2 linked regions of the Arabidopsis thaliana genome follow. The protein of the gene in region 1 interacts with the protein of each later gene in a biochemical or structural test. Each region holds a gene or a part of one and is shown in the gene's direction. Other genes may lie near its edges.

Region 1 (4,795 bases):
CTCCTTTCTTATACAACTTACAAGTTCTCTGCACAATTTTATGATACAATGGACATTTGAATTCACTCGTTACAGACTATACCCCAACTTTATTTTGAGTTTATTTTGCAAAAATGATTTGAGACTGGGAAAATTTGTTTTATTTTCGTCAATGAATATGCGTAGTGACGTCGATACTAACAAAAGTACTACTCTTTACATTCGAATTTTTGGTGGTTGCGAAACGACAACAAAGATCTATGAAATTTGTGTTTCACATTAAAAACTCAAAATGTATTTTGAAACCCAATGTTTGGAAACATGTAAACAAATTAAAGTCTTTGTACTTTTCACCAACAAATGGAAAATATATATCTTCTAACAAATATGAGTATTTGAGGAGCTTGCATTTTCGATAAACAGCTCCTAATGTAGTACTCTTTGCATGTTCAAAAGATGGGACGTTTCCTTGAGGGCTGATTTCAACATTCAGAGAAAAAAAATTATATACATGTACGGAAATGAATAGTTAATCTTGTTGAATAGAATAAGAGAAGAGGAAAGAAAAACAAATATCGTATGTTATTATAGTTTATATATAATCAACTTGCAATAAAGGAAAAATTTGAAAAGCGTGACTAGATATGCACTTGGAGACTGACTTACATAGTAGATACGATAATCGAATATCTAGATATCTGGATGGTACTCATATTATTTGTTTATTACGTATGATCAAAGATTTATTAATATGTATCATCTTCTACTTGGCTTAATTATTAACTAGTTTAGTATTCGTCTCTAATCTTCAAAACAATCAACATAAATATCTAAACTATATTGGTCATATAAAATCTAATACTTTACTATCCACTTGTAATGTTTGTTTTGTTCAGAGTTGGAGACCCACATAAATTGATTTCCCTATCCGTATTGTAAAACAGACTATTGACACTTTGATCAAATCTCGTTGGATGACATGAACACCAATGATTTGAAGTGGGGAACAATTCAATAGTTAACAATATTTTTGTTATTTAAATGCATTTCAACTATACGGTCGATATTATTTGAAATGTTTGCAACTACATATTTAAGAAAACGTTAAGTGCAAATGACCCGTTCTTAAACACTCCGAATCTCATATAAAATAAAGTTTTTTTGTACTAATCAAACATATAATTTTCAGACTTTTAGTTTTGATAGAAACAAATTACATATACGAACACCCAAGTACTACTTTTTATATTCGATAATATTATTCTATCTTCGTTTAAAATATATTAACCACATCAAGAAAAGAGGAATGAAATATTCTAACGGAATTAATGTTTGCTGCCAAAAACAAAAAAAAAACAGAAGAAATTTTTACATTTGAGTTTATTGGTATAGTAGTTAGGATTTTGTGTTTTATTATATATTTAAACGAATTTATTTAATTATTTCTAATACAGAAAGATGTATATATTCTTATCTACTTTCATTTTGTTTTTAATGTTTTATTTCGTCAATACCCTTAGGGGAAAAAAGTGTATTTTGGCAAATTTTCCTTAAATCTAAGAGCAAGAACAAAAATTAAAGTCACACATGAAAGTTGAAAGTGATCCAAAGGGATTTGATATTAGAAAATAGAAAGTGAGATAAAACCAAAAATAATTTTATATATTTGCCTGGCTTTTTACAAGCATCTCACCCCCACTCACTCTTTACATTTAAGGATGATGAAAAATACTTCACTTTTGAAATAATCAAACACCATTTTTAATCTTTATAATAACTCTGACGTTGAAGACATCAACAAACACCTTTAATTACATATAATAGTTTATGGAATTTCTCTTCTTCTTCTTGAAATATATTATTTAATTGGAAATAGTTCAATCCCTCTGTCTCTTCTTCTGGAGTCTTGGACCCAACCCCATCATTCCAGAAATGACCGGCTAAAGTCAAGAACCTCTCTCTGAGCTCTCACCACTTTCTCTCTCTACTCCCTCTCTGCGTGTAGGATACTACTAGACAATTGACAACCAAAGACTAAAGCTGTGTTGTTGGTTCACTTCTGTTCTCTTTTCCAATGTTGTCATCAGCTAAGCATCAGAGAAACCATAGACTCTCTGCTACAAACAAGAACCAGACTCTCACCAAAGTTTCTTCCATTTCATCCTCATCACCATCGTCTTCTTCTTCATCATCATCAACCTCATCATCATCTCCTTTACCTTCTCAAGACTCTCAAGCCCAGAAGAGATCTCTTGTCACCATGGAAGAAGTTTGGAATGACATCAACCTTGCTTCCATCCACCACCTAAACCGACACAGCCCTCATCCACAACACAACCACGAGCCAAGGTTCAGGGGCCAAAACCACCACAACCAAAACCCTAACTCAATCTTCCAAGATTTTCTCAAAGGATCTTTGAACCAGGAACCAGCACCCACAAGCCAGACCACGGGTTCTGCGCCTAATGGCGATTCCACCACGGTCACTGTTCTTTACAGCTCTCCTTTTCCACCTCCTGCAACTGTTCTGAGCTTGAATTCCGGCGCTGGCTTCGAGTTTCTCGATAACCAAGATCCTCTTGTTACCTCAAACTCTAATCTTCATACCCACCATCACCTCTCAAACGCTCATGCCTTCAACACCTCTTTCGAGGCTCTGGTTCCATCCAGTTCTTTTGGTAAGAAAAGAGGCCAAGATTCCAATGAAGGTTCAGGGAATAGAAGACATAAGCGTATGATCAAGAACAGAGAATCTGCAGCTCGTTCCCGCGCTAGGAAACAGGAATGTGCCTCTCCTCTTCCCTCCTAATCTTCTTCTACTCATGTGTATCAAAAAGGGAAGAAAAGAAATGTGGTTTTGCCATCAAATTGCTTTTGATCTAAAAAAAGGTCTCTTGGTTTTGATTCTCATTTGCAGGCTTATACAAACGAGTTAGAACTTGAAGTTGCTCACTTGCAGGCAGAAAATGCAAGACTCAAGAGACAACAAGATCAGGTAAACAAGCAGAGCCAAGTTCTTAATGTTTTACCCTTTTGTAGCACTCATGTCATTAGATCAATTCCTTGTAGTTTAACCAACTTATAAAAAGAGACAGACAGACAGCCTCTGGAGTATATTTGTTTTACACACTTTTTTGTCCAATGACATTTTGGGTGGTTAGATTCTGATACTTCAGTTGTGTGTTTATTATGTGTGTGTGTGTGTGCAGTTAAAAATGGCTGCAGCAATTCAGCAACCCAAAAAGAACACACTTCAACGGTCTTCCACAGCTCCATTTTGAGAAATCTACAAGTCCTTGTTTCTCTTTTGGGGATTGAGATTGTCTCATGAAGAAGTGAAAAAATGGCAAAAGTTTGTACCCTTTTTTATTAGCTATAAGTATAACTAAGCCTAAAATTGTAGAACTAAGATATTGTAGGGGAAAAAAGAAGATGTAAAACAAAAGACCCGGAAAGAGAAAAGGATCTTTCAATTTCCTAAGGCACAGGAACACCTGTCCTGGGTCCTCTCTTAATGTTCTGTCGTTTTCCTATGCAAACCCTTTTTTCACTTCTGTACTAACTTCTACTTGTATTCTTGTTGTAGTAATGTTCTACTTCCTCTTCTAATACTAGTAAGAAAAAAAACCTTATGTTTTACTGTTTAACCAATTTGGTTCTTAAAAGAAGCAAAGGATCAAATGACCAATAGACAAAACAGTGCTCCACTTAAATGATGACAATACCAGAGAAAAGTGAGAAGGGGACCTATCACTGAACATTTAATTTTCTCCCTATCACATTATCACATAAATATCCAATCCTTTGGCTGTCTACCATACAAGCCAACAACTTGCAATATGATTTTGAAACCTCCAAGCCAATGGGAATTAAGTTCACCACTTTTCGGGTTGGTCAAGAGAGAACATGATAAGTTTCTTATTCAGCATGGTCACTCCCCACGTTTTATTTATATTCATAGTACATAGTATTGTAGCTTTTGCTCTAACTGGTCACCATCAAAAACACTAGGTGTGTTTGTATTCATTTGGTTTATCAAGAGAATAGTTTTTATCTTCTTTTGGCCCAATTTCATTTACCTGACAGTGATAAGTCTTGTTGATCCACTTTTGGTTGTTGATATATTGCTGTGTATTCTTTTAAGCAACCAAAAGTGGACATCAAGAGCTAATATGGTGTAAATATAGTGGACATTAAGATAAAGAAGAATAGTTACCAAAAGTGGGACTATGACTAGAATCTATCCTCACATTATATGGTTACACTTAGAGCCCCTCAAATAGGCATCCAATACTTTAAATCATGCTTCTACTTTCATTCCAGTCAATAAGAATCCTAGACTTCAAGAAACTTTAAACGAAAAAGTTGGTTTATTCACCTGAAACTACACACCTATAATGTTTTTCAATTGGTTACATCAATGTTTCCCATCAAACATTCATACTTAAAAATGCTACCAGAACTTGGCCACAAGCCTAAAAGAGAGTTTAGAAGAGATGATCAGGTAACTAGTACAGAGGACAGAACGAACCATTGATAAGTTGCTGCAGATACAAGCTGATACCTTCACTCTGACCATTTTATTTCTTTTTGGGTGCAAAAGCAAAAGTCATTAAGCTTTTGATGCATCACCTTCCTCCTCAAGTATTTTTCCATCCTTTGGAACCAAGCATGGAATCCCATCTTTGATCTAGCGTGTTAAGAGAAGCAAAATCAAGTCTTAAACATTGAATCGTGAACATGAAGTGAAATCTAAAAAGAACAAGAAGAATATCATTAAGAAGAAAACAGCCGACCAATCACTTTAGCATATGAT
Region 2 (5,774 bases), on another chromosome or scaffold:
CATAAGTAAAAGACAAGTGGCAGATACGTTAAATTTTATAATAGAAATAAATTAGTTAAATCTTAAAAAGTTGCTGAAAATAGAAAGCAAACTACTTATCTTAAAGCAAACGTAAGTCTCTTTAAGAAGAAATACAAAATGAATATATATCGGATTAAATCAAAAAACAAAAAGATACACTTTTGTTTTTCTGAACAAATGAAAAATGATATACACAAGTGGCGGACAATCCATCTATCTCATTTTAGCGAACAATTAATCTTGTCTGCGACTGCGACCTATTTTTTTCTACATCACATCTTTTGTTTCGTATGAACACTAACATGATTGAATGACAAAATTTACTAACAATTCTTATAGTACTGAGCTCTCCTGTCCAATATTTAAAAATGCATACATTTTTTTGTGTGTAACTAAAATTAGTAGAAAATAAATGCTAGTCGTTAAAAAGTGCATATAGCAGATTTCGAGTTTTTTTTAATTGCGATTTCGATTATCAATGGTCGATCGTAGACGTCTTTTTTAGTAAACAAATCTGAAATTTCTATGAAGGTTACCAAATATTTTGGATTTCAACCTAAGATGAAGTTAACCTATGGACGTGTAGAACAGTGGCTGAAGTCTGAAATGATAAGATAAAGTTCAATATGAATACATTACTGAGATGTTACAAAAAACTACATCACTGAATAATTCCTTTATTTTCCAGTTTGGACAGTAGAACCTATCGCTAATTATTTAATTACCAATTAAAAGAAAAAGAAAGAATAATTCCTACAGTTGTTAGGCTATGGTTATAAGTTTCATCTTTGAACTTAAGAAATGCTCTAATTAGTGGTAATGGTAGTTACATCTATATATGTTGATGCAATGTCAAAAAGAAAATCTCTCAAATTAGCAAATCCATACCTATTTATAGACGCATAAGTATATATACCAATTATCCTGGTCGTGCAAATGGATGGTTAGTATTTTTACAACCAAACTAATGTCTAATTTTAAAAAGTAATCATTATTTTGCTTTAGATTTTTAATAGTTAATATTATATGTATAGATAGATTACCGTATGATATAATTGTTTCAAGACACTAGATACTATCTCAATTATAAAACTCACTTTTCCATAATATGGCCGCTTGTTTATAAAAAAAGAAGAGAAATAAAACAATTGATTTGGTTTATATTATTTAATTGCAGATATCTTGTACTTAATTCATTTTGAGATAATTTTGCGTATTTGAGTTCGGACATTGGTAGGTATGGACGATGAAAATAACTGCCTTCATTCTACATGTTTGAGATTTGTTTGTCGACCATATAACACAAGCGGCTAGAAAAATAGGTGACTATTCTCAAATGTCCTGGTTCTATCTAACCTGAAGGATCCCTTGTTCTACCTGGTATAACTACAAGAAAAGGCTGTTTTATAAAATATATCATTTCTTCTATGATTTCTATCTCAACTTTTTTTTTAGTTTTTTTCTTTTAGAACGTTTTCGCTTTCGAATTTTTTAAGAATTTTTTTTTTCTTTATATCTCTAAATAATAGTTTTAAAAACATAACAAGTGATACTGTAATTTTTTTTTCTCTATAAACTTGGCGGTACCCTACTTTTTTCTTATTTTTATTAATAATCTTACTTTGTTATGATAAATTATGTTAATATATGGCAAAACTAAATATATATGAAACTACTGATTACTCATTATCATAATTAATATCTTTGTATAAAAGTAAATAATATTTAGTCGAGAGAGGTATCTTGTTAAAGGAAATAAATCAAAAATTAGTGGCTACCAAGTGGGAGATATAATTTGGAATATTTCCAGTGTATTAGTGTGGTGGGTTTGGAATACCACAAACAGAAATAAAAAGAAAGAAAAATATGAAATAAGACGACAATGTGTGATGTACGTAGAATCAGTTTTAGATTCTAGTACATCAATAGACAAGAAAAAGATTGTGGTTATGATTTCACCGACCCGAGTTAATGCAAATCCGAAACAGTATAAATATGTGTAGAGGGTTCATGCCTATGATACAAATTAAAGAAGCAGAAACAAAAACAAGTAAAACAGAAACAATCAACACAGAGAAACCACCTGTTTGTTCAAGATCAAAGATGTCTATAAATATAAGAGACCCTCTTATAGTAAGCAGAGTTGTTGGAGACGTTCTTGATCCGTTTAATAGATCAATCACTCTAAAGGTTACTTATGGCCAAAGAGAGGTGACTAATGGCTTGGATCTAAGGCCTTCTCAGGTTCAAAACAAGCCAAGAGTTGAGATTGGTGGAGAAGACCTCAGGAACTTCTATACTTTGGTTCTTTCACTTGAACTCCCTTTTGTCTCTTTTCTTCTTTAGTTTCTTCAGTGCTTCTTACACCTTCTTTTTTAAAATAGAAATTATTTTCCTTTTTTGGGGTATACTGAAAATATTTCTTGGGCATGCAGAGACCTTGGTTAAAAATGCCCCACGCTTTCCTTTTCTCTGTTTTTTTATGATTTATTTGGTTTTACTTTATGATACCCAAATCAAAAACTAATTTATATTTCATTTCTTTTTTCATGAAGATGGACCCATAAAATATTTCTTCCTATCCTAAATTAAATAGAGATAAATTTATGATCTATCCCAAATTTTTTCCACCAACTTCTTGCATAAGTGATTATTATTTAGGATAAGAATCTTGGGATTTTTCTTTGTTCCTCCTACCTAATAATTTAATTTGCATTTGTTTTTTTTTGTTTTTTTTTAAGTATAATTTTTTACTATACTTTGAAAATGGCATTTTTGAAATATCCTTTTTGCTAATTAAAATATCTGCAAAAAGATATAGAAAATTGATGTTCATTAAAACAAATATATATATTGATGAATCTCTGTTGTGGAATATTTGAAAACTGTTTGAATAAGGATATTCTGATATTCAAGCCAGCCTTTAAGATACTCTCTGCTATATATAGACATGTAGCTACTACCTTTTTTCTATTCATAGTTTTCTTCTTCTTTCTTGTGTTATCTCATTTTCCAAACTTCAAAAAAGAAAAAGAAAAAAAGACCTTTTGCTTTCTTGATTTCTTTGAAAATGATAATCTTATCTTCTTATAATTCTTCGTCTTATTTGTTTAATGAAGGTTATGGTGGATCCAGATGTTCCAAGTCCTAGCAACCCTCACCTCCGAGAATATCTCCATTGGTTTGTGCACTAACTCAACTCTTTAATTAATTCACTTTTAAGTTATAGCATAGCTCAAACATGTTGCTCGAATTATATATATAGACACTCAACTACACATGTAAAACTGGACATGTATTTTGGATACTTTGAAATTGAGTAGATCACTTATAACTTAAGACTCAAACATTTTACATTTAATAGAAGGAGACATATAAAATCAACTTCGAGAGTGCGATGCATCAATTTGTCTCCCAAAAAAGCCCACACCCAAGCTAAATTGACATATTTTGTTCAAAAACTTTACTATGTGTAATGTAAATATGTATTATGTATGTCTGTGTATTTTACTGATCGCACATAGATTCTATAGAATGTATAGGACGTGACTTGAACTAAGATTTGTTTTTTTCACTTTAAAGTGGTCTTTGTACGGGAATATCATTGAGCTTAAAATAGCCTGATGACATCATCATTGTTCCTTGAAGTGAGCAGGACTAGGTTTCCTGTTATATCACTTTTTATTTTTATTTATATATTCATGCACTTGAATGTTATTGCATGTTTTGCTAGTCACTTGCACTAGTAATCTAGGAATTAGTTACGTTGCTATTATTTTTTTGTAAGAAAATAAAGTTTAAGTAGCATTTCAATTCTGTCAAAAAAAGAAGTAGCATTTCAATTATGTTGTGGTGCCATAGCTTAAACATGTGTATGGCTATCTCTCATTACAGGTTGGTGACTGATATCCCTGCTACAACTGGAACAACCTTTGGTGAGTTTTATTCTATATATTAGATCGCTAGGTGTTAGAAATATAGAAAGGTATATGAAATAGCCTAATTAATTAGTTACTAGCTAGAAAATTCACATGTTTTGATGAACTTTTTATTTTTCAGGCAATGAGATTGTGTGTTACGAAAATCCAAGTCCCACTGCAGGAATTCATCGTGTCGTGTTTATATTGTTTCGACAGCTTGGCAGGCAAACAGTGTATGCACCAGGGTGGCGCCAGAACTTCAACACTCGCGAGTTTGCTGAGATCTACAATCTCGGCCTTCCCGTGGCCGCAGTTTTCTACAATTGTCAGAGGGAGAGTGGCTGCGGAGGAAGAAGACTTTAGATGGCTTCTTCCTTTATAACCAATTGATATTGCATACTCTGATGAGATTTATGCATCTATAGTATTTTAATTTAATAACCATTTTATGATACGAGTAACGAACGGTGATGATGCCTATAGTAGTTCAATATATAAGTGTGTAATAAAAATGAGAGGGGGAGGAAAATGAGAGTGTTTTACTTATATAGTGTGTGATGCGATAATTATATTAATCTACATGAAATGAAGTGTTATATTTATACTTTACGTGTATTCATTTCTTTTCGATGCAAAAATCAGGCAGTGGGAAGAATCTGCTGTTTTACTTTTGGGTTCCATAATACACTTTTTTGTGTTGCTACTAAAGTACTGATAATATCCAAGTCGATCATTATATATCAAACTAAAGAGTTTGCATTCAATACATAAGCTAGAAAAGTAGAGCAATATTTTGGTTTTAAGTTTATGGGCTCACGTATGAAGAAACACATGTGTAAGATCGAATCCTAGGATCAAACCTTAATTATTAAATCCTTGAAAGGTAAACATATGAAGTATTTATACATTCTGAAGATTAATTACTAATGGACTTCGACGTTAGATCTTGTTCCCATGATAGAAAAACGTTTTTTTTTTAATTTGGGATAAATACGAGGAACAACTTAAGCATTTATGTTTTATTTAAAAGCGGTTTAGGCGGTTGTATTGGCTCCGTCTAGACGTTATGCTGTCAAGTTATGGTTAGATCACTGATTCAACGCCTAAAATAGTATAAGTTTCGATTTAATGTATTTTCTATTTTAAAATTAAATTTGAGTTTAAAACTAAAAATAAAACACTTTAGACATCCAAAAAAAGGAAGTGTCTTTCTGTAGTTAAACTTTAAATATCCATAAACTCTTTATGAACGTAGATGGTCTTACTGTCTAATGCTTTCTTGAACATTGATAGCCATCGTTCGATGAAAACGCTCTCCTCCAAGCTGATCAACGATGACATTTAAACGATCTCGAACCCCTTTGATTTTCTTTTATTAACATTTTTTATTGATTAGTAAATTGTGACATAATTATATATGATACAAGAAATTATTGATACACGTGAAAATTTATTAACAGTTGGAAGATAACTCTGACTATGAACCATTTCATTTTAAGGTTCTGTGCATTCAACCGATATATTTTTTGCGTACTTCCACATATCCACTCAGAGGAAGGTCTATATTTGATATAGAATGAAAGAGTAACACGTAAAAGGCTAAAAGTCAAATGATATAGTTATATAAAAAAAAATAAAAAAAAATTAAACATCAGCCATACAAGAAGGTTACAAGAATCTTATGCTCGTAAACGACATCCATGATTATCTAAAACAAAAATAGCATGAGATGAATACTTTGCGTCCCAAAAACTGAAAGTGTCTAGTTTTTATAAAGCAAAGTTATTTAGAGATAAAAAGCAATAGAAGTTTTTTCAACAAATCAAAAAGCAA

What was found. Proteins that work in one complex are often made in the same cells at the same time.
Region 2: the proteins of FD (region 1) and FT form a complex in vitro, tested with the Arabidopsis thaliana proteins (one study listed by BioGRID).

The regions. Positions count from the first base shown.
Region 1 is NC_003075.7:17,002,693-17,007,487, forward strand, and holds FD (Basic-leucine zipper (bZIP) transcription factor family protein), read left to right. Parts: upstream 1-1,829; 5' UTR 1,830-2,053; coding exon 2,054-2,761; coding exon of another isoform or gene 2,762-2,788; exon of another isoform or gene 2,789-2,896; coding exon 2,897-2,974; intron 2,975-3,188; coding exon 3,189-3,260; 3' UTR 3,261-3,616; downstream 3,617-4,795. Other genes in the region: AT4G35905 (Trm112p-like protein), read right to left, coding at 4,592-4,669. UniProt on the Arabidopsis thaliana protein: Transcription factor required for the transition to flowering promoted by FT.
Region 2 is NC_003070.9:24,329,386-24,335,159, forward strand, and holds FT (PEBP (phosphatidylethanolamine-binding protein) family protein), read left to right. Parts: upstream 1-1,987; 5' UTR 1,988-1,992; coding exon 1,993-2,325; intron 2,326-3,140; coding exon 3,141-3,202; intron 3,203-3,915; coding exon 3,916-3,956; intron 3,957-4,080; coding exon 4,081-4,304; 3' UTR 4,305-4,614; downstream 4,615-5,774. UniProt on the Arabidopsis thaliana protein: Component of the mobile flower-promoting signal (floral stimulus or florigen). Promotes the transition from vegetative growth to flowering. Required for 'SEPALLATA3' (SEP3) and 'FRUITFULL' (FUL) accumulation in mature rosette leaves.